4 linked regions of the Saccharomyces cerevisiae S288C genome follow. Changing the gene in region 1 together with any one later gene gives a genetic interaction. Each region holds a gene or a part of one and is shown in the gene's direction. Other genes may lie near its edges. The genes, in order: BAS1, VIP1, IPK1 and UBR2.

Region 1 (4,534 bases):
GCCAGTAATAGATAACTCTGATAACAGATCATTAGAATCTTCAATTACTGGTAGATTGTAAGCTTTCGGGGCCGAAGATTCTATGGCCTCGATCTTTCCTTCTTCCTCCTTTGGCTTTTCCACCTTGGATAAAGAGGATGAAGAATCTTGGCTAGAATCTCTGATTTGTGACGAAACCTCCAAGGAGTGCACGGGGGGAGCAGTTGCTGGACTAGACAGCGTTTTGAATAATGCATCCTTTCCAGTACTGAGTTTTAAATACGAGGGTTTTGATAATGCTTCTTTGCTTGTGTAGTACGCCACTTCAGAACCAGCTTCCAATTTATTACTTGATGCTATCTGATTACTTTCCCTGACTATGTCCTCTTTCGAATTATCATTTGTTGGTTTTGTTAGCTCATTCGGTATTTCATGTAGTGAGCCATCAAACTTGTTATGTATTGACAAAGAGGCCATATGAACAGGTAAAGGCCGTAGCGGTAAGGAGTAGGCTCTTTTTCTTTTTATGGTCCTGCAAATTCCGTTTGACTCCGCTAAATACCGGTCAACAATAACAGTACTTTCATCTCTTACCACTTTTAACACATAACCCATCACGTGTTCGTCTTGATAGTCGTTTTTTAGCTTTGCGTAACTGCTGTAGAGATTATTTCTTGTTTGGAATTGTAACGATTGTGGAATAATAAGGTACAGATAATAACAACCAATAATAAATGCTGTCAAAGCTTCCATTTCCTGATTGATTTCTAAATCCCTCAGGTAAACATTAAACAGATGAGCAGCATGGTCTAACAATCCTCTTAAGTTCTTTAGCCGTAATTGCGAATAAAACTGTTTAATATCTACTTCATATACTTTTCGAACTAGGTTTAGAATTTGATCTGGGTTTAATAACATTGTCTTTATGACTTCCGATTTAGCGAAAAGAAAACGGAAAGTAAGATCAATGCCACGGTTATTTAGTTTACTGAAGATCCTGAAAGACTACTAGCAGTAGCAGTAACCTTTCAGAGCTTATAATCAACCTAATGATTACTCAGCGCACAATCTAAAAGGGTTTCTCAACTAATTCTCGAAGAAATGTCAATCCCTTTTTTAAGCACTCCGGAAAAACTTTATAATAGATGTGGGGAAATCACCTTTGACGATGTGCAACGGAGAAACTATTTTTTTTTTTCTTTTTTTCTTTTTTTTTTTTTTTTTGGTCCGAACAATGCGATGAGCCAGACGAAGAAAAAAATAAAAAATGAGAATGAGTAATTATGTTAAGACCTTTAGAAGAAATAGGGTCCAGTCACAGAATAAAGCCCCAGGAAACTTTAAAGCAATCGAAATTAACCAGCTATATTTATATAATAAGAAATTTTTCTTATTAGTTTACTATAAAGGACTAGTGTACGTTTTTTGTGTTTAATTATTTGCTTTCTGATAATCCGGTTTGCTGATTTGAATCGTTCTCTGCAACAATTGTTGATCTCTAGTGGGGTAAACAAAATTAGTTTTGTTTAAAACTTTTGTTGTAGCGTTTTTGCTCTTTTTTTTTTATCGCAGAATACATTTTATCGAGAATGTCGAATATAAGTACCAAAGATATACGAAAAAGTAAGCCAAAAAGAGGATCCGGCTTCGATTTACTTGAAGTGACTGAATCACTTGGCTATCAGACACACAGGAAAAATGGAAGAAATTCATGGTCAAAGGACGACGATAATATGCTACGATCGCTAGTAAACGAATCCGCAAAGGAGTTAGGCTATGAGAATGGACTTGAAGACGTAAAAACAATTCAACAATCCAACCATCTTTCTAAATGTATTGCTTGGGATGTTTTAGCTACACGATTCAAACACACCGTAAGAACTTCAAAGGATGTAAGAAAGCGTTGGACAGGATCTCTGGACCCAAACTTGAAGAAAGGTAAATGGACACAAGAAGAGGATGAGCAGCTCTTGAAAGCTTATGAAGAACATGGGCCTCACTGGCTGAGTATCTCCATGGATATCCCTGGAAGAACAGAGGATCAATGTGCGAAAAGGTACATTGAAGTGTTGGGACCTGGAAGTAAAGGTAGATTAAGAGAATGGACGCTCGAGGAAGATTTAAATCTGATAAGTAAAGTGAAGGCATACGGCACGAAATGGAGAAAGATTTCGTCGGAAATGGAATTCAGACCAAGTTTAACGTGCAGGAACAGATGGCGGAAAATTATTACTATGGTTGTGCGAGGACAAGCATCAGAAGTAATAACAAAGGCTATAAAAGAAAACAAGAACATAGACATGACAGACGGAAAACTCCGACAACATCCAATCGCCGATTCTGATATACGCTCAGATTCTACACCGAATAAAGAAGAACAGTTGCAGCTATCTCAACAGAACAACCCTTCATTGATAAAGCAGGATATATTGAATGTTAAAGAGAACGAATCGAGCAAACTACCAAGATTAAAGGATAATGATGGACCCATTTTAAATGACAGCAAGCCACAAGCATTACCTCCCTTAAAAGAGATATCTGCACCTCCACCAATCAGGATGACGCAAGTCGGTCAGACTCATACCAGTGGTAGCATTAGGAGCAAAGTATCTTTACCAATTGAAGGTCTTTCTCAAATGAACAAGCAAAGTCCTGGAGGAATCTCAGATAGCCCACAGACAAGCCTTCCCCCAGCATTCAATCCAGCATCTCTCGATGAGCATATGATGAATAGTAATAGTATTTCAGATTCTCCGAAGCATGCTTATTCTACTGTGAAAACTAGAGAACCAAATTCCTCTAGCACACAATGGAAATTTACATTAAAAGATGGTCAAGGTTTGTCAATTTCTAACGGAACTATTGACAGCACAAAATTAGTAAAAGAATTGGTTGACCAAGCTAAGAAGTACTCTTTAAAAATTTCGATACATCAACATATTCACAATCATTATGTTACATCCACAGACCATCCTGTCAGCAGCAATACTGGATTGTCAAATATAGGAAATATAAATGGAAACCCTCTATTAATGGATAGTTTCCCACATATGGGTAGACAACTGGGAAATGGTCTTCCAGGGTTAAATTCAAATAGTGACACTTTTAACCCAGAATATAGGACTTCTCTGGACAACATGGATAGCGATTTTTTATCAAGAACACCCAACTATAACGCATTCAGCTTGGAAGCAACTTCACACAATCCCGCTGACAATGCAAATGAACTTGGTTCACAAAGCAATAGAGAAACAAACAGCCCGTCTGTATTTTATCCTCAAGCAAATACATTGATCCCAACTAATTCTACCGCTACAAATAATGAAATCATTCAAGGAAACGTTAGTGCTAATAGTATGTCACCGAATTTCAATGGAACAAATGGCAAGGCACCAAGTTCGACGGCATCATATACAACGAGCGGTTCAGAAATGCCACCTGATGTAGGTCCTAATAGAATAGCGCATTTCAACTATTTGCCACCAACTATACGGCCTCATTTAGGCTCATCAGATGCGACAAGAGGTGCTGACTTGAATAAGTTACTCAATCCATCTCCAAATTCAGTAAGAAGTAACGGCAGTAAAACTAAGAAAAAAGAAAAAAGAAAAAGTGAATCATCTCAGCATCATTCTTCATCATCTGTGACAACCAATAAATTCAATCACATTGATCAGTCGGAGATATCAAGGACTACATCCAGATCTGATACTCCATTGAGAGATGAAGACGGCCTGGATTTTTGGGAAACGTTAAGATCCTTGGCTACTACGAATCCAAATCCTCCAGTTGAAAAGTCAGCTGAAAATGATGGTGCCAAGCCTCAAGTGGTACATCAAGGGATTGGCTCACATACAGAAGATAGCAGCCTAGGTTCCCATAGCGGAGGATACGATTTTTTTAACGAACTGTTGGATAAAAAGGCAGATACACTGCATAATGAGGCTAAGAAGACGAGCGAGCATGATATGACGTCAGGAGGTTCTACCGATAATGGGTCAGTCCTGCCACTGAATCCTAGTTGAGAAGGCAAGGCCGAAAAAAAACACAAATCTTTCAATTGTTTAACATATTAGTTTTGTAATAAGCATAAGTGTATATTATACATAGCACAAGATGGATAATATTCTCTGAAAAAAACGTGTAGTTTCATGACTCGCATTTTTTTTTTTTTTTCTTTCATGTTGATTAACATACTTGAATTCTGTATTTAAGCTGTATAAAAAGTTGTTCTATTTCATATACGGCGATTTTGCATAATTAAGAACTTTGCCTTGTACACTATTTTACTAGGGTATTCTTCCAAGATTTCTCTTCTTATTTTTTCCCTTTATAAGTCATTGTAGCAACATAATTTCCTGGAAATTTTAAGGGAATATATTTCTTTCCGCCCACAAACACAAAGGGCGTTTAGTAAATTATGCGGCGATGTATAAAAGAGAAAGCAGGCAAAAAGAAAATGAAAAATGAGACTATGAACTTTAAGAATTATGTCTTGACTAATTTTTTAAAACCCATCATCCATGAAGAGTTCTGTTTGTATTGTTTACGTTTG
Region 2 (5,565 bases), on another chromosome or scaffold:
TCTGGCATTTTCAATTGCAAGAGCCACTATTTCAGGAAATTTAGACTTAATTGTACTACCACCTACCCTGCCGCCATCTTGTTTCTTGTGTAACCTTTGTGACATTTCTTGCGACTGTGCATCTTTACGCAGAGAAAAGCTCCATAATGATCTATCTTTGGATGCTGATAGCATGAAGTGTGATTGCGAATCAGCAAACGCAATGTATGAAGGTGGTTGAGAATGACCCCCTCTGGAACGTAGATATCTTGGCGGTTGAACAACTACATCACCGCTTCCTTGAGATAATGACGGATCGAAAACGTACTCCTTCAGGGAATTGTCACCACCTGATGTAACAATAATGGGTTGACCATTTAAAAAAGTAGCCTGAGTGACACCACCGTACGATTCTCTATGAATGTTCTTCAAAACGTGTATTCTTGAACGGCGATCTAAATCATAAAATATTAGATCACCACTGCTCGTTCCCACACTCAAATGAGAAGAACCGTCGGTTCTGAAACTCAATGAGGAGATTCTTGATTGCGGAATCTTAATTGTGCGGATCCTTTTACCTTTTCTCATATTAAACATAATAACCTCACCGGTCACGGTACCTAGAGCAATAATATCCAGGACTGGAGCGGGTTCAGCAGTTGTGATTTGGTCTGGAAATTCGTTTGATGTGAATACAAGCTTCCCGGTTCTGACGTTAAAAAGTAAAACGTTAGATTTGGTAACGACAGTTAATTTATTCAAATAAGTTGCCAAATGTTGTAAAGACACAATTTCGCCACCTTGAATTTCAGTAACGGTAAGTTTAGTGTAGAATTCTGATGGATATTTATCTTGCGGATCGGACTTCTTGTATATAAAGATGGAATTGTCGTCGGTGGAAGCGCAAAGATAATCTCCGAATATGCACAAATGTTCGACATTTGCATCAGTTTCTAGCTCAAGCAAATGTTCCTCAATACCCCTCTTGTAAATACCAACCTTGTTTTCATATGCTGCGTAGACGTAGTGAAAGTGTGCTGATAATGCTACAATTGAGGATGGTGTTTCTTTCTCGGAAACAAAAAGTAAATGTAAGGTATTCGCATCATATATCTGAAATGTTTTACCAACACACGTTACAATGTAAAAGGTAGATCCCAATGTACCAGTAGCAAAAGGAACACCATTGCTAACATTACCAATAATCCGGAAAGGGGAAAATATCTTAGAATTTTTCCCTCTACTTCTTACGTCTTCTTCGACTTTTCTTTTTTTCAAGTCGATAGACATAATGTACTATTCCTAACTCGCTATAGCCTTTTCAGTGTCTTATTCCTTGCTGCTGTTTCGCTGTATATTTATTGTGCTTAGGACTTATTAAATTTCATTAGCAATCTCATCGCGAAATTTTTCTCAAAATTTTTCAGTTAAAAAAAAAAAAGCACGTGCTCAAAAATGTTTTTAGAAAATCATTTATTTAAGATAGGAAAAATGCAATTAATCATTGAATCAATATGTTCACCACTTAAATTACCCACTGAGCATTTCATACAAATTCAAAAGCATCTCGTAGCATATTAATATATTGCAGAAGGTCATGAGTGGGATAAAGAAGGAACCGATTGAATCTGATGAGGTTCCTCAACAAGAGACAAAAAATAACTTACCTAGTGCACCTTCTGAGATGTCACCCCTTTTCCTAAACAAAAACACACAGAAGGCTATGCAATCTATTGCACCAATATTGGAGGGTTTCAGTCCTAAGACGTCAGCTAGCGAAAATATGTCTTTGAAATTGCCACCTCCCGGTATTCAAGATGATCACAGTGAAGAGAATCTCACCGTGCATGATACTCTGCAAAGAACCATAAGCACTGCACTAGGAAACGGAAACAACACCAATACAGTTACAACTTCCGGTTTAAAAAAGGCAGACAGTGAATCAAAGTCAGAAGCTGATCCTGAGGGGCTCAGCAATTCTAACATAGTCAATGATGCAGATAACATAAATTCCATCTCCAAGACCGGATCGCCCCATTTACCTCAAGGAACAATGGACGCTGAGCAGACTAACATGGGAACTAACTCTGTACCTACTTCATCAGCTTCTTCACGCAAATCCTCGACTAGTCATCCCAAACCTAGGCTACCCAAGGTAGGGAAGATTGGGGTATGTGCAATGGATGCAAAAGTCCTTTCAAAGCCAATGAGACACATTTTGAATCGTTTAATTGAACATGGTGAATTTGAAACTGTCATTTTTGGAGATAAGGTGATTCTAGATGAAAGAATAGAGAATTGGCCAACTTGCGACTTTTTGATATCTTTCTTTTCTTCAGGATTTCCCCTAGATAAAGCAATTAAATACGTCAAGTTACGCAAGCCTTTCATTATCAATGATTTAATAATGCAAAAGATTTTGTGGGACAGGAGATTATGTCTACAAGTATTAGAAGCCTACAACGTTCCAACACCTCCTAGACTGGAAATCAGTAGAGATGGTGGTCCCCGTGCCAACGAAGAATTAAGGGCAAAATTACGTGAGCATGGCGTAGAAGTTAAACCCGTTGAAGAACCGGAATGGAAAATGGTTGATGATGATACTTTAGAAGTTGATGGGAAAACCATGACTAAGCCCTTTGTTGAAAAGCCCGTTGATGGTGAAGACCACAACATTTATATATACTATCATTCTAAGAACGGAGGAGGCGGTCGTCGTCTATTCCGTAAAGTTGGTAACAAGTCTTCTGAGTTTGATCCTACTTTGGTTCATCCTCGTACGGAGGGGTCTTACATTTATGAGCAGTTTATGGATACCGATAATTTCGAAGATGTGAAGGCTTATACGATTGGTGAGAACTTTTGTCACGCTGAAACTAGGAAATCACCTGTGGTTGATGGTATAGTTAGAAGAAATACTCATGGTAAAGAAGTTAGATATATTACTGAGTTATCAGACGAAGAGAAAACCATTGCTGGGAAAGTTTCCAAAGCTTTTTCACAAATGATCTGTGGTTTCGATTTGCTTCGCGTTTCTGGTAAAAGTTACGTCATTGATGTTAACGGATTTTCTTTTGTAAAGGATAACAAAGCTTACTATGATTCATGCGCCAATATATTGAGAAGTACCTTCATTGAAGCCAAAAAGAAGATGGATATGGAAAAGAAGAATCTGCCCATTATTCGTGAAGAAAAGGAACAAAAGTGGGTATTCAAAGGACTGGCTATCATTATCCGTCACGCGGACAGAACACCAAAACAGAAATTCAAACATTCATTCACTTCGCCTATTTTTATATCGTTACTAAAAGGTCACAAAGAAGAAGTTGTCATTCGGAATGTAAATGATTTAAAGATTGTTCTTCAGGCCTTAAGAATTGCGTTAGATGAAAAAGCAGGAAATCCAGCTAAAATTAAAGTGTTAGCAAACGCTCTAGAAAAGAAACTGAATTTTCCCGGTACGAAAATACAATTGAAACCGGTTTTAAATAAAGAGAACGAAGTGGAAAAAGTTCAGTTTATTTTGAAATGGGGTGGTGAACCCACTCATTCTGCCAAATATCAGGCTACGGAACTCGGAGAGCAAATGAGACAAGATTTTGACCTATTGAATAAGAGCATTCTACAAAACATCAAGATATTTTCATCGTCTGAGAGACGTGTTCTTCATACGGCGCAGTACTGGACCAGAGCTCTTTTTGGGGCCGATGAATTAGGTAGCGATGAAATCAGTATTAGAAAGGATCTTTTAGATGACAGTAATGCCGCCAAAGATTTAATGGATAAGGTGAAAAAGAAGTTGAAGCCACTTTTAAGAGAGGGTAAGGAAGCTCCCCCACAATTTGCCTGGCCTTCAAAGATGCCGGAGCCATATTTAGTCATAAAGCGAGTGGTTGAATTGATGAATTACCATAAAAAAATTATGGATAACAACTTTGCTAAAAAGGATGTCAACTCGATGCAAACAAGATGGTGTACTTCTGAAGATCCTAGTTTGTTTAAGGAAAGGTGGGATAAACTTTTCAAAGAATTCAATAATGCTGAAAAAGTCGATCCTTCTAAAATTTCTGAATTGTATGATACTATGAAGTATGATGCTCTTCACAACAGGCAGTTCCTAGAGAACATATTTGACCCGGGTCTTCCAAATGAAGCTATCGCCGATGAACTCGGCAGTCATTCTTTAGTTGACCGATACCCAATTAACGTTCTCGCCAAAAATAATTTTAAGATAATAGACAGTCATAGCATGAACAATTCTGGAAAGAACAGTAGTAATAGTGTTGGGTCGTTAGGATGGGTTCTGGAAAGCGGAAAAACATCTACAGCAAGAAACCCCAAATCTTCTTCTCAATTCGATGAGCCACGCTTTATGCAGTTGCGGGAGCTGTATAAGCTGGCCAAAGTATTGTTTGATTTTATCTGCCCCAAAGAATATGGTATTTCAGATGCAGAGAAACTGGATATCGGTTTGTTAACTTCGTTGCCTTTGGCAAAGCAAATACTAAATGATATAGGAGACATGAAAAATAGAGAAACTCCAGCTTGTGTTGCGTACTTCACCAAAGAGTCCCATATTTACACTCTATTGAATATCATATACGAATCTGGTATTCCAATGAGAATCGCTAGAAATGCTTTACCAGAACTAGACTACTTGTCGCAGATCACTTTTGAACTTTATGAGAGTACGGATGCTTCTGGTCAAAAATCGCATTCCATTAGACTAAAAATGTCTCCTGGGTGTCATACTCAAGATCCGTTAGATGTTCAATTAGATGACAGGCATTATATTAGTTGTATTCCAAAGATTTCCCTGACGAAGCATTTGGATATGGACTATGTTCAACAGAAATTGAGAAACAAATTTACCAGGGTCATTATGCCTCCGAAATTTACACCAGTAAACATTACGAGCCCCAACTTGAGTTTCCAGAAACGCAAAACCAGAAGAAAGTCGGTATCTGTTGAGAAGTTGAAACGTCCTGCCTCGTCCGGATCTTCATCATCTACCTCCGTTAACAAGACATTAGATTAGTGATCACACCCAATTTTTAATTTAGTAACCCAAAACTAAATAAGTATTTACTCAACTTTTTTTTAAAAAAAAAAAACTTAATTGAATTTTGCTCGCGATCTTTAGGTCCGGAGTTTTCGTTGAACCCTTAGACGAGCAAATTAGCGCCATAAGGATATGCGTCAGAGCACATTAATTAGTGACATATACCTATATAAAGAGCAACCTTCTTGTTGGAATAAAAATCAACTATCATCTACTAACTAGTATTTACGTTACTAGTATATTATCATATACGGTGTTAGAAGATGACGCAAATGATGAGAAATAGTCATCTAAATTAGTGGAAGCTGAAACGCAAGGATTGATAATGTAATAGGATCAATGAATATTAACATATAAAATGATGATAATAATATTTATAGAATTGTGTAGAATTGCAGATTCCCTTTTATGGATTCCTAAATCCTCGAGGAGAACTTCTAGTATATCTACATACCTAATATTATTGCCTTATTAAAAATGGAATCCCAACAATTACATCAAAATCCACATTCTCTTCATGGTAG
Region 3 (3,143 bases), on another chromosome or scaffold:
CCACAGAGTTCGCATTTTTATTTTTTCCCAGTGACGCAATTTTTGGATTGTTAATAATAGCGTCGTTACGTCACATATGGTCAGTATGATCACTTTAGAAGTAAGGAGAACTACCTAAGGGGTTTTAGATCACATTTTAACTTGCTTACTGAAATATTTACACGATTCTAAGCCTGTATAAAATTCATTGGTATGAATAAATATGTTAACTTTTACTTACAGGAGGTACTGGCTCAAGTTCTTTTTTAGATGCCATATCGTCTTTTTTTTCGAATGATTCCATTCTCTTTCTAATACTTGATTGCAAGTATTTTTCTACAAACCCAAGCTCGTCTTTCTTTTTCACATCACCTTTTCTCTTTGCAACGATACACCAAGTAGTGCCTAAGTGAGTCCGTTTTTCTTCCACCAATTCTAGGTCAGAATCATCTAACACTTCGCCTAAGTCGAGATTCCATCGACAGCCCCAAGTATTCAGTCTTCTTTCAGCTCTGTTGTCTAATATCTTATTTATAAAATCGTATTGACCTCTACCATGTTCCAGTAAAATAATTCTTCCATCTGGCTTTAATAACTTGCCAAAATTATTAAGTGCCTTAACCGGATCTTCATGGGAACACAAACCAAACGCCTCCACGATAGTATCATATTTTACTTGGTTTTCCTTTTCATTCTCTAGAGAGGGCTTACCTTTCTCTGCTAAGTCTACTAGATTTTCCGCCTTTCCAACAACAAATGCAACTTTTTTATACTTAGGAAACTTTTCTCGGAATTTTTTATGTGTAATTTCCATCATATTTTCAGAAGAGTCTAAGAATGTTATAGAGTTGATGCGTGACATATCAAGGTACTTGATATTTCTTCCTGTACCGCATGAAACTTCCAAAACATCCCCTTGACAATGTTTCATTAACCATTTCCTTCTTTTACCGAGAAATATTACTCTCTCTTCCATATTAATTGCCTTATCATATTCGTTAGCTTTTTCTTGGTAAAAGTTTGTTGTGTCTCTTGCTGGCAATATTTGTTCATTCAATTTGTTTTGATCAAAATTCTGTACCCGAATATCATCGAAGTTTTCAATGCCTTCTTCTTGCATTTTTTTGTATTCTTCTAATTTCAATTCATCTCTCCTCCTTAGTTTTCCTTTCAATTCTTTAATCCTTAATGCTTCGTATTCATTGGCATTCCCTTCTTCTTGTTTCTTCAACAATCTTTCCAGTTCTTTGTCTTTCGCAAACAGTTTTTTGGTAAAGAAGAGACCATAGATTAAAAATATCACATAAGCACCGATCATGTACTTGGTCATTCCCTTTGAAAACTTTTCTGATCTCGCAATAGCTCCCCACCTCACAAATCTATTAGGTGACCTCAGTTGTTCTTCGAACCTCTCTTTGGCCAATTCTTCTTTTGTTTTTTGCTTACGAATGACTCTATTGCTATTCATTTGGAAAACATTTTTAAGCTTTTTTTTACTTTTATCATCATCAATGTGGCTGCTGTTATATTTATAAGATGTAAAAGATAATGATCGCCTTTGTGATTCCAACAAAAGACTCCTGGATGCCGGTTGTCGAATGTGATGTAAAAGGCACGTAGGAAAGCGACGAAATACGATCATCCTCACTTACTTATGGTTTTCTTGTTCGTTCCTCAGTGGTTTATTTATCGAAGATATTTTCACAAGGTACTTTTTTGATGCGGTCCCATTTAGGGTTTCCAAAATTAATTCGAACCGTGATATGCTACCAGTCGAAAATTGTCAGAGATAAGTTCCTTTTTTGAAAAGAAAGATCGATGCAAGTCATCGGACGTGGTGGGGCAAATATACTGATTGATTATGGGGATCCTACGTGGTTGTGGCGATGCTGCATCCGTTGGCCCGATCTGTTATCATCAAATAATTCTTATACAATCAAAAACATCAGTTATATTAAAGATTATGTAGAACCTCTTCTACATGGCTTGCTTTGCCCGATGTATCTGATTGACGTCGATATAGAAGCTATAAGGCCAATTCTCAGTGACTTTATTCTAAATTTAGACGATAAGGTAGTCAAAGTTATCAAAATTAAAAATCTCACCAATAATACCTCAAATCTGATATTAAATAACCACTTTTTAAAATCTTATTGTTCACAAAATCTGCAAACAGTTATTTTAGAATTGAAGCCTAAATGGTTATACTATGATACAGATTACTGTAGGAACTGTACTCATAATGCATTTAAGGGTAGAGGCACTAAGTACTGTTACAATCAATTACTAATGAATCCAGCACACTTGGAATTAATATTTGGAGAATGTAATATATTTCCGGTTAAGTTTAAAGATGCCATGCATGAGTACTTGCGCAATGACAATAACATTTTCAAGATCCTTTATGATTTACAGAAAAAACTTACAAAGAACACAACTCCAATAAGTGACATAAAATCAATCAACGATGTAAACGATGAGCATCTGCTACTCATGACACTCAGAGACGTGACATGTTTCATTGAATGGAACAGTGCTGAAAATGCGTTGCACGTGAATATAATAGATGTAGATCTAAAGCCAAAAGAAAAATGGACCCATTGGACAAAAACTTACAGCCAGTTGACATCAAGCCAAAAAATTTATCATACTTCAAATAAATAAACTGTATACTTTTCTTTCCACCTTTGGTACTGGCAGATGCACATACATTACCATTTGTAAAATATATGGATAGATAAGTATTTTTTTTTTCTAGTGGCCCTCTGGAAAATGTAAATAATAAAACGGAAAACACACAAGCCAGGGTGAATGACCAAATTCGATATTCAACGAAGGGTCAAACCTTGAAACCTAGCATACATGAGTTTAAGGAATAGTGAGAAGAAAAGTAATGGCCAAGAGACTGTTAGAATCAAGCCAAAATGATCAGGCCAATCGAAAAAACTCAAAGATTGAGAAGAAAGAAGTATCGTTTTATGAGGAGGAAGAAACAGATGATTCTTTTGATAGTTTTTACCAGGATGAAGAAGATGATTTAAGTGATATTGATTGGGAAGAAGTTTCTTTAGATGGAAGCTTAACTGTCACATTTGGCAATATACGCAGAGACAGGGAGAAAGTCAGCAAGTACAAAAGAAAGCATAATAAAAAAGCATTCAATT
Region 4 (7,838 bases), on another chromosome or scaffold:
GGTAGTGAGACTTTGTTCTCTGAGATAGGCGCCGCATTAACATTATTATTAACGATCTTGGACGTTTCTTGGTTAGCATTTTCTTGAGCCAGCATGTCCAATTCCTCGTCCAGCTCATCTTCATCCACCTCGTTTGCCCCAGTAATTAAAGGCCTGGATATAGCGTCGCTTATTTCATCTCCTAATTCGACTTGCTCCCTTATCTCGTCCATAGTTTCATCCACTTTATCTATGTCAAGGCCACTGTGAATAGTTTTCATTGCCTTAGCACCTTCCTGCATAGCCCTCATTGTCTCTAGATTTAAGTTTGCACTTTCTATAGAGAATAGCTGCTGTTCCATAGACTCCATTGTGCCTTCTACCTTACTTAAAAGTTGTTCGATTGTCTTCTTCTTTTTAAGTGCATTCTTCGCCATTACTTTATTGCCCTTCGTCAAAAAGATTCTAGCTTCATTCTCTTGATTTGTAATTTGAGTACGTAAATGCGATTGCTTTTTGGATAGAAGGTTGATATGCTCCCTCAACCGCACTATGGCCTTTGTTGGTGACTCTTTATTCTTGGCATTACTTGATGTCCAACCAAAAAGTGATGACCACATGCCTTATTTATCAATACTGTTATGTTTCTGCTGCTTCCGTCCGAAATACAATATCTTACCCTTTAGAAGCTCGTACTTCCCCTGCTCTGCCAACTATTCATGATTCGAAATCACCCACCGACTTATTTAAAAATCCCATCTTTTATCAAAAGGGTCGAACATGAATCGTATAAAATGATGCATATAACAAAAGCTATGTAGTATATATATTTGCTATTACTTACCAACATTAAGCATTGGTTAGTTACGGAACTCCATCGTTGTCGTTACTCTGCTCACCCCCACCTCAATAACTACTTTACATAAGTATGCGGCATATAACAATATGACAAGTCATCCTATAATTAAAAAAGTTAACTGTCACCATAGCATAACCGCCAAGCGCTAAATTAAGGGGGAAAGAAAAGAACGGTGTTGAACGCAAGCTATCTACCTCTTTCTTTGATGCGGTTGAAATATTATACTCGAATAACAACCATTTATAGAGGCGAAATCACTAGAATGGCCGGCTTAGTATAAACAATACCGAGTACGCCAATTTTATGGTACACAGTTTATACGTAATACTGATTTCCGACGAAGCCGCAATTGTAAGTCAAAACTTGAATTAATTAGTCTCACATGGCTGACATAACGAAGAATAAAATTAGGGAAAATACCGCCAAAATTTATCCCCCGTTTAGAGGAAGGTGATGACTCGACTCATCAATTTTCAATCTACATATAGCTACGTATTCATGCCACTCACTTCTTAGGATGTTAGATGTAACAAACCGAGCAATCATAAGGCCCATGTTATAATATTTGCGGGGCAAGTGTTACTGGTCCTAGATCCTAATTGCCCGTTTCTTCACTAGATGTGCAAAAAGCACACCATCACTTATCACGTTGTGGTGACAACGGCGGCAATTTCCAGTGGCGTTTGTTGAACTTTTAGGCGATATCAATAAAGAGCATCGTCAATGTACAGCTGTGGGGAGAAACCCAATAATCAACGCATTCATACTTTCAATTGCTTGGCATATTACTAACAACTCTATAAAAAAAAAAAGTTGCTCAAGCTTTTTAAAAAAAAGAGCCGGCTTTTTTTTCTAATTATTATCATTTACTCGTCTCTGATAGTAAAGGTAAGATTCGTTAACTAAATTAATAGCTACTTAACAAGCACGCATGGAAGATTCTGACCTGTCTATAACCAATATAAGAGATTTTCTTACCGAGCTCCCCAAACTCGCGAAATGCGAATATAGCGAAACCACTAGTTATTTACTATGGAAAACCTTAAATCTACGCCTTAAGCATAGTGATAACGATATAAACTGGCGCTCTCTCGTTTCAATACTCAATTCTGAAGCCTGGGAAAACGAAAAGTACAGAGACATACTAAATGGAAGAAAGTGGAGGACCCTGGAGTTCGAGAATGACCACCACTCTGTGGGTAATATGCATATTGGAACAGCGTGTACGCGTTTATGCTTCCCCTCTGAGACAATTTATTACTGTTTTACGTGCTCCACAAATCCATTGTATGAAATATGTGAGCTTTGTTTCGATAAAGAAAAACATGTAAATCATTCTTATGTTGCTAAAGTGGTAATGCGCCCAGAAGGCAGAATATGCCATTGTGGTGACCCCTTTGCCTTTAATGACCCAAGCGACGCGTTCAAGTGCAAGAACGAATTAAATAATATTCCTATTTCTAACGACAATAGTAACGTAACCGATGATGAAAACGTAATCTCCCTATTGAATTATGTTCTGGATTTTTTAATTGATGTAACTGTTTCATACAAAGAGGAGGCAGAAGCCCATTCAAGCGAGAGAAAAGCATCCTCCCTAATGCATCCTAATCAAAACAGCATTACTGATGATATAATGGAAAAACACGAATGTGAACCATTGGTCAATGATGAAAATTTTGTTTTCTTTGATAACAATTGGTCCAATACGAGAAAAGAAGCACATATGGAGTGGGCTATTCAAATCGAAGAAGAAGAGTGTAACGTACACTACATGGATTTAGCATCTACAATAACAAGAATTTTGAATACACCGGTTGAATATGCAATCTCAATAACGAAGGCTTTAGAAGATTCACACGATGTAGTGACTGTGCTACAAAGTGAGAATTTTTTCGAAATAGATCAAATAGCCAAGGAGTTTCAAAAGGAAAACATAGTAGTTCATGTAAGAAAAGCGGATGATATATTCAAGAGAAAGTTAACAGATGATTTAACAGATTGGTTATATTCTCTGTGCTTTAAGGCGGCCACGTCTTTGCAAAATAAATATGCTCTTAGAATTTCCATGCTAGATGTTTGGTATTCCCATTTTTCTAAAATGAGAGTATCTCCCACAAATACCAATCCTGACTTTTCTAAGATTAACTTATTAGGTGGATTCTTAATATCTAACGAAGATAGTGATGAATCATGGTTTAAACCTTGGTCATTAGAGAACATTGAAGACGAAAGAATTTCAAAAATACTCACTAATTACAATGAAAGGTTGATCAGAGCCCATTCGCCGAACACAGTAAGCCATTTCTACAATTTCTATGGATCTAGATTCCAATATATTATCATCAATTCTATTAATATCCTCTCAAAAAAATCTAAATTCAAAATGTTAAAGATCATGGCGTCATTATTCTCGTTAAGGGATGAAAGCAGAAAGTTTCTTGCCGCACAATATATTGATGTTTATCTATCGGTCTTGTATGATGCAGTTGCATCAGATGCTAAAGAATGTCAGGTAACTCTTATGAGTATATTAGGGCAATACACTTTCCAAGACCCCAGCATAGCAAATATGACTATAAGCTCGGGATTCATTGAACGAACTATTAGATTTGCTTTTACTCTCATGGCATTCAATCCAGAAGACTTGATGTCATATTTGCCCATCTCTTTATACAATGGCTTTAAGTTGCCCACCGAAACAATACGAAATCGAAGGACAATTATTTGCTTTAAAGACCTTTGTACGATAATGTCAGCGAACACTGTTCCGGAAGAACTACTTTCAAATGAGGCAATTTTTAACGCAATAATTGAGTCCTTCTCTGAATTCAGTAACGTGCTGCCATTGAAAAGGGAAACTAAAGAACACGTGGAGGTTGAAAACTTTGATTTTTCTGCATTTTATTTTTTTTTCTCATCAATACTAATAATGACAGATGGATACACACGTAGTATATCTTTGGTCAAAGATGCGGCTTTCCGTAAGCAAATCGTCCTTAAACTACTTGATGTTGCTCAAACCAGGGAATTTGAATCACTAACCAATTCTAGAAAAGCTATATCACCTGATAACGCATCAACGAATGAAAATGATTCGAACAAAGCGACTTTGTCTACAGTCAGAGAGACGATATGCAATTATGTCGCAGAGACTATTAATTTCCAGGTAGGTGTAAATACACAGTATTTTTTCAATCCAATGTCATATTTGTTCAAATTTGTTATTCAATGGAGTCAATGTGGTAGATATGAGCCAATTCCTGCTTCTTTGACAAACTACATTAATCTCTTCGAAGTTTTTCAAGATAAGCAGAAGGCTTTATATATATCAGAATCTGCTTTGTCAACCCTAGTCCTAATCGGGCAAATAAACGTCGGTTTCTGGGTAAGAAACGGAACTCCAATTACTCACCAGGCCCGGATGTATACAAAATACAGTATGCGAGAATTTACTTATATTAGTGACATTTTCAATGTGCAATTTAGTATGGCAATGTGCAATCCTGATGAACTGATGGTTACTTACCTCTCAAGGTGGGGTTTGAAGCACTGGGCAAATGGTGTACCTATGTATGATTATCCTGATACAGAAACAACTGTAGCCGTTGTTAATGAATGCATTCTGTTATTGATTCAATTGCTTACTGAAGTGAGATCATTGGTCATGAAATCATCAAAGGAAGGCTTCGAGAGAACGTTCAAATCAGAAATAATTCATGCCCTTTGCTTTGATACATGCTCTTACGCACAAATTGTTAACTGTATTCCAGAACATATCACCAAGCACCCTTCATTTGATATATATCTCGAAAAATACGCCAATTACACTTCTCCTGTAAGCTTGACTGACAATGGCATTTTCGTGTTGAAAGAAAAGTATAAAGATGAGATTGATCCTTATTATATAGGGTTGTCTTCCAGTAGGAGGTATGATGTAGAGAAAAATATCAGGCTGAATATGGCAAATTTGAAGAAAATGAAATATGAAGATACTTTTGTACCAGCAAAAAAGGTTAAAGATTTGTTGAAGAATACATTATTTTCTGGGCTGTATTCAATATCATCAGTGAATACTTTTGGTTTATTTTTGAAAAATACTTTAGATCACATTATAAAATATGATTATGACAATTTATTGCCGAGAGTGGTTCATTTGATTCATTTATGCGTGGTTAATAATCTGAATGAATTTATGGGGATACTGTGGCATGAATACGCAATTGTGGACACAGAATTCTGTCATTACCACAGCATTGGTTCTATCCTGTATTACTGTTTGTTGAAGGATAATTTTTCGGAATCTCATGGTAAGATTAGGGAAATTTTCAGGTATTTAATGGAAACAGCGCCTCACGTAAATGTAAACAGTTATTTGAGGGAGCAAACCACGTCATATACACCAGGAATATTGTGGCCTACAAAGGAAGATAAAAGCCACAAGGATAAAGAATTTGAAAGGAAAAAACATCTTGCTCGATTGAGAAAGAAAAAATTAATGAAGAAGTTGGCTCAACAGCAAATGAAATTCATGGAAAACAATAGTGTAGATACTTCCGATATTAGTACACCCAGAACCACATCACCTAGTTTATCTCCCACTAGAATAAATGCAGAGAATAGTAGTAACACAATCAACAGTTGCTGCGATGATGATTGCGTATTTTGCAAGATGCCGAAGGATGACGATGTATTTGTTTATTTTTCATACCAAGAACGGAACATATGTGATCATGGAATTGATTTTACGAATCCTACAGATGTTAATAGAATAAATTCGCTGTTCAGTGGTAAGCAAACAAAAGACAGTGCAATCCAAGAAAACCCCCAGGATGATGATGGAACGAGATTGAAATTTACTAGCTGTGAACCAGTATTAAGAGCATGCGGGCATGGGTCTCATACCAAATGTTTAAGTGGCCATATGAAGTCGATTCGCGGAATACAAAACCAAACTACAAAAAATATTCCATTATCGTATGGTTCAGGGTTGATATATTGTCCCGTATGCAATTCCTTAAGTAATTCATTTCTACCAAAAACAAATGATATAGATAAGAGAACTTCGAGCCAGTTTTTTATGTGTATTGAAAAGCGAAGTGAAGCGGAAGAAAACCTTGACCCAATGAGCTCTATTTGTATTAAAGCAGCGATGATTCTAGGTGATCTTCAGGGTAAAAAAGTCACGACTATCGAAGATGCATATAAAGTTGTTAATAGTGTTTTTATTAATACTATTTCAAATACTGAGCTCAGATTAAGATCGCACAAAAAGGAAGGAAAAATAGTGAATATGGAAAGAATATCCAGTCAGTGCATTTTAACCTTACATTTAGTTTGTGAGCTAAAGTCGTTTATTTACAAAAAATTTGTTAATTCAAAAACATTCAGCAGCGAAATCTCTCGTAAAATATGGAATTGGAATGAGTTTCTAATAAAGGGTAATAATGTGAATCTACTTTTGTATATGAGTCAAAATTTTGATAATATTGATGGAGGAAAAACCCCGCAACCGCCTAACCTATGTATCTATGAAATGTTCAAAAGAAGGTTCCATCAACTACTACTGTTGCTTGCAAGAGATATGATGAGAGTAAACTTTTACAAAGACTGTCGAAATAAAATCAAAATATCATCAAACGGATCTGAGGAACCATCGACAAGCTTTTCATATCTATTCAATACTTTTAAAAAGTATGTTGATCTCTTTAAACCAGACGACGTTCGGTTTGATTTTACAAGTTTAGAGAAAATTAAAGACTTTATATGCTCTCTATTACTAGAGTCATTGTCCATTTTTTGTAGAAGAACCTTCTTATTATTCAACATTCAGTATGATGATGATGGTGATGGTGATAATAATAATAACCGCAGCAATAATTTCATGGACGTCAAACAGCGTGAAATAGAGCTTATTTTCCGGTATTTTAAATTACCCAATTTAACTCACTTTTTGAAGGATTTTTTCTACAACGAACTAACACAAAATATAGAAAGGTATAATGATGGTAATGATAATTTGAGAATTCAGCAAGTAATATATGACATGGTGCAGAACATAAACACAAGAGCATATCCTTCACCAGAGCATATCCAGCTTATCGAACTACCATTGAACCTTTCCAAATTTTCCCTTGATAATGATGAAATATCGAATAAATGTGATAAATACGAAATCGCAGTATGCTTGTTGTGTGGCCAAAAATGCCATATTCAAAAAAGCATAGCACTGCAAGGTTATTTACAGGGGGAATGTACTGATCATATGAGAAATGGATGCGAAATCACCTCCGCTTACGGAGTTTTCTTAATGACCGGCACAAATGCGATATATCTGTCATACGGCAAAAGAGGTACATTTTATGCTGCACCTTATCTAAGTAAATACGGAGAGACCAACGAAGACTACAAATTCGGTACTCCCGTCTATTTGAATCGGGCGAGATACGCGAATCTAGCGAATGAGATTGTTTTTGGCAACATGATTCCGCACATAGTGTTCCGACTAACGGACGGCAGTGCAGATCTTGGTGGGTGGGAGACTATGTAGTTATCCAACAAATGTCTAGTCATTCAAAATTGCTACGAAATTAGCGTATCCGAAAAATCAAAAGAAATTTTATCTGTTTTAATTGGCGTGGGGAAGTGGGGTAGGGTCGAGGATCATTACGCTTTCTCGTGGGAAGGGACAGGGACGGACCGAAAAAAAAAGAAATGCCGCAGAAAAAGAAATGTTTTAGTGTGGGGTATGGGCTGAAGCTCGTATAGTGCAGGGTGACTTCACTTTTCTTTTTACCCTGCAGGAAATGGAGAAAGTGTTGATGGATAAGGTATATAGTCATAAGGTGACACAGCGTGGGTGTACATCTAGAAAGCTTGGCGATTCGAGCGAAGTGGTGGTTTACTCGTTTTATAATAAGAGTTTTTGGACATTATTTTTTCTTTAGGACACAGTTGATTCAAATTCTACACTTGTTTTGTCGTCTGGTAAAGTTTAGCC

Evidence for each region.
Region 2: mutations in BAS1 (region 1) and VIP1 together harm fitness more than expected from each alone (negative genetic interaction), as found in Saccharomyces cerevisiae (4 studies listed by BioGRID).
Region 3: mutations in BAS1 (region 1) and IPK1 together harm fitness more than expected from each alone (negative genetic interaction), as found in Saccharomyces cerevisiae (3 studies listed by BioGRID).
Region 4: mutations in BAS1 (region 1) and UBR2 together harm fitness more than expected from each alone (negative genetic interaction), as found in Saccharomyces cerevisiae (2 studies listed by BioGRID).

The regions. Positions count from the first base shown.
Region 1 is NC_001143.9:634,283-638,816, forward strand, and holds BAS1 (Bas1p), read left to right. Parts: upstream 1-1,568; coding exon 1,569-4,004; downstream 4,005-4,534. Other genes in the region: ubiquitin-specific protease UBP11, read right to left, coding at 1-897. UniProt on the Saccharomyces cerevisiae protein: Activates HIS4 transcription only in combination with PHO2/BAS2. BAS1 is also involved in the regulation of the purine biosynthesis pathway.
Region 2 is NC_001144.5:935,965-941,529, forward strand, and holds VIP1 (inositol polyphosphate kinase VIP1), read left to right. Parts: upstream 1-1,576; coding exon 1,577-5,017; downstream 5,018-5,565. Other genes in the region: rRNA-processing protein UTP21, read right to left, coding at 1-1,269; YLR410W-A (gag protein), read left to right, coding at 5,519-5,565. UniProt on the Saccharomyces cerevisiae protein: Bifunctional inositol kinase that acts in concert with the IP6K kinases to synthesize the diphosphate group-containing inositol pyrophosphates diphosphoinositol pentakisphosphate, PP-InsP5, and bis-diphosphoinositol tetrakisphosphate, (PP)2-InsP4.
Region 3 is NC_001136.10:1,092,241-1,095,383, reverse strand, and holds IPK1 (inositol pentakisphosphate 2-kinase), read left to right. Parts: upstream 1-1,797; coding exon 1,798-2,643; downstream 2,644-3,143. Other genes in the region: OMS1 (putative RNA methyltransferase), read right to left, coding at 206-1,621; RAD34 (Rad34p), read left to right, coding at 2,873-3,143. UniProt on the Saccharomyces cerevisiae protein: Has kinase activity and phosphorylates inositol-1,3,4,5,6-pentakisphosphate (Ins(1,3,4,5,6)P5) to produce 1,2,3,4,5,6-hexakisphosphate (InsP6), also known as phytate.
Region 4 is NC_001144.5:187,213-195,050, reverse strand, and holds UBR2 (putative ubiquitin-protein ligase UBR2), read left to right. Parts: upstream 1-1,769; coding exon 1,770-7,388; downstream 7,389-7,838. Other genes in the region: ESCRT-III subunit protein SNF7, read right to left, coding at 1-599. UniProt on the Saccharomyces cerevisiae protein: E3 ubiquitin-protein ligase which probably functions outside the N-end rule pathway, since it lacks the residues essential for the degradation of N-end rule substrates. Mediates RPN4 ubiquitination and subsequent degradation.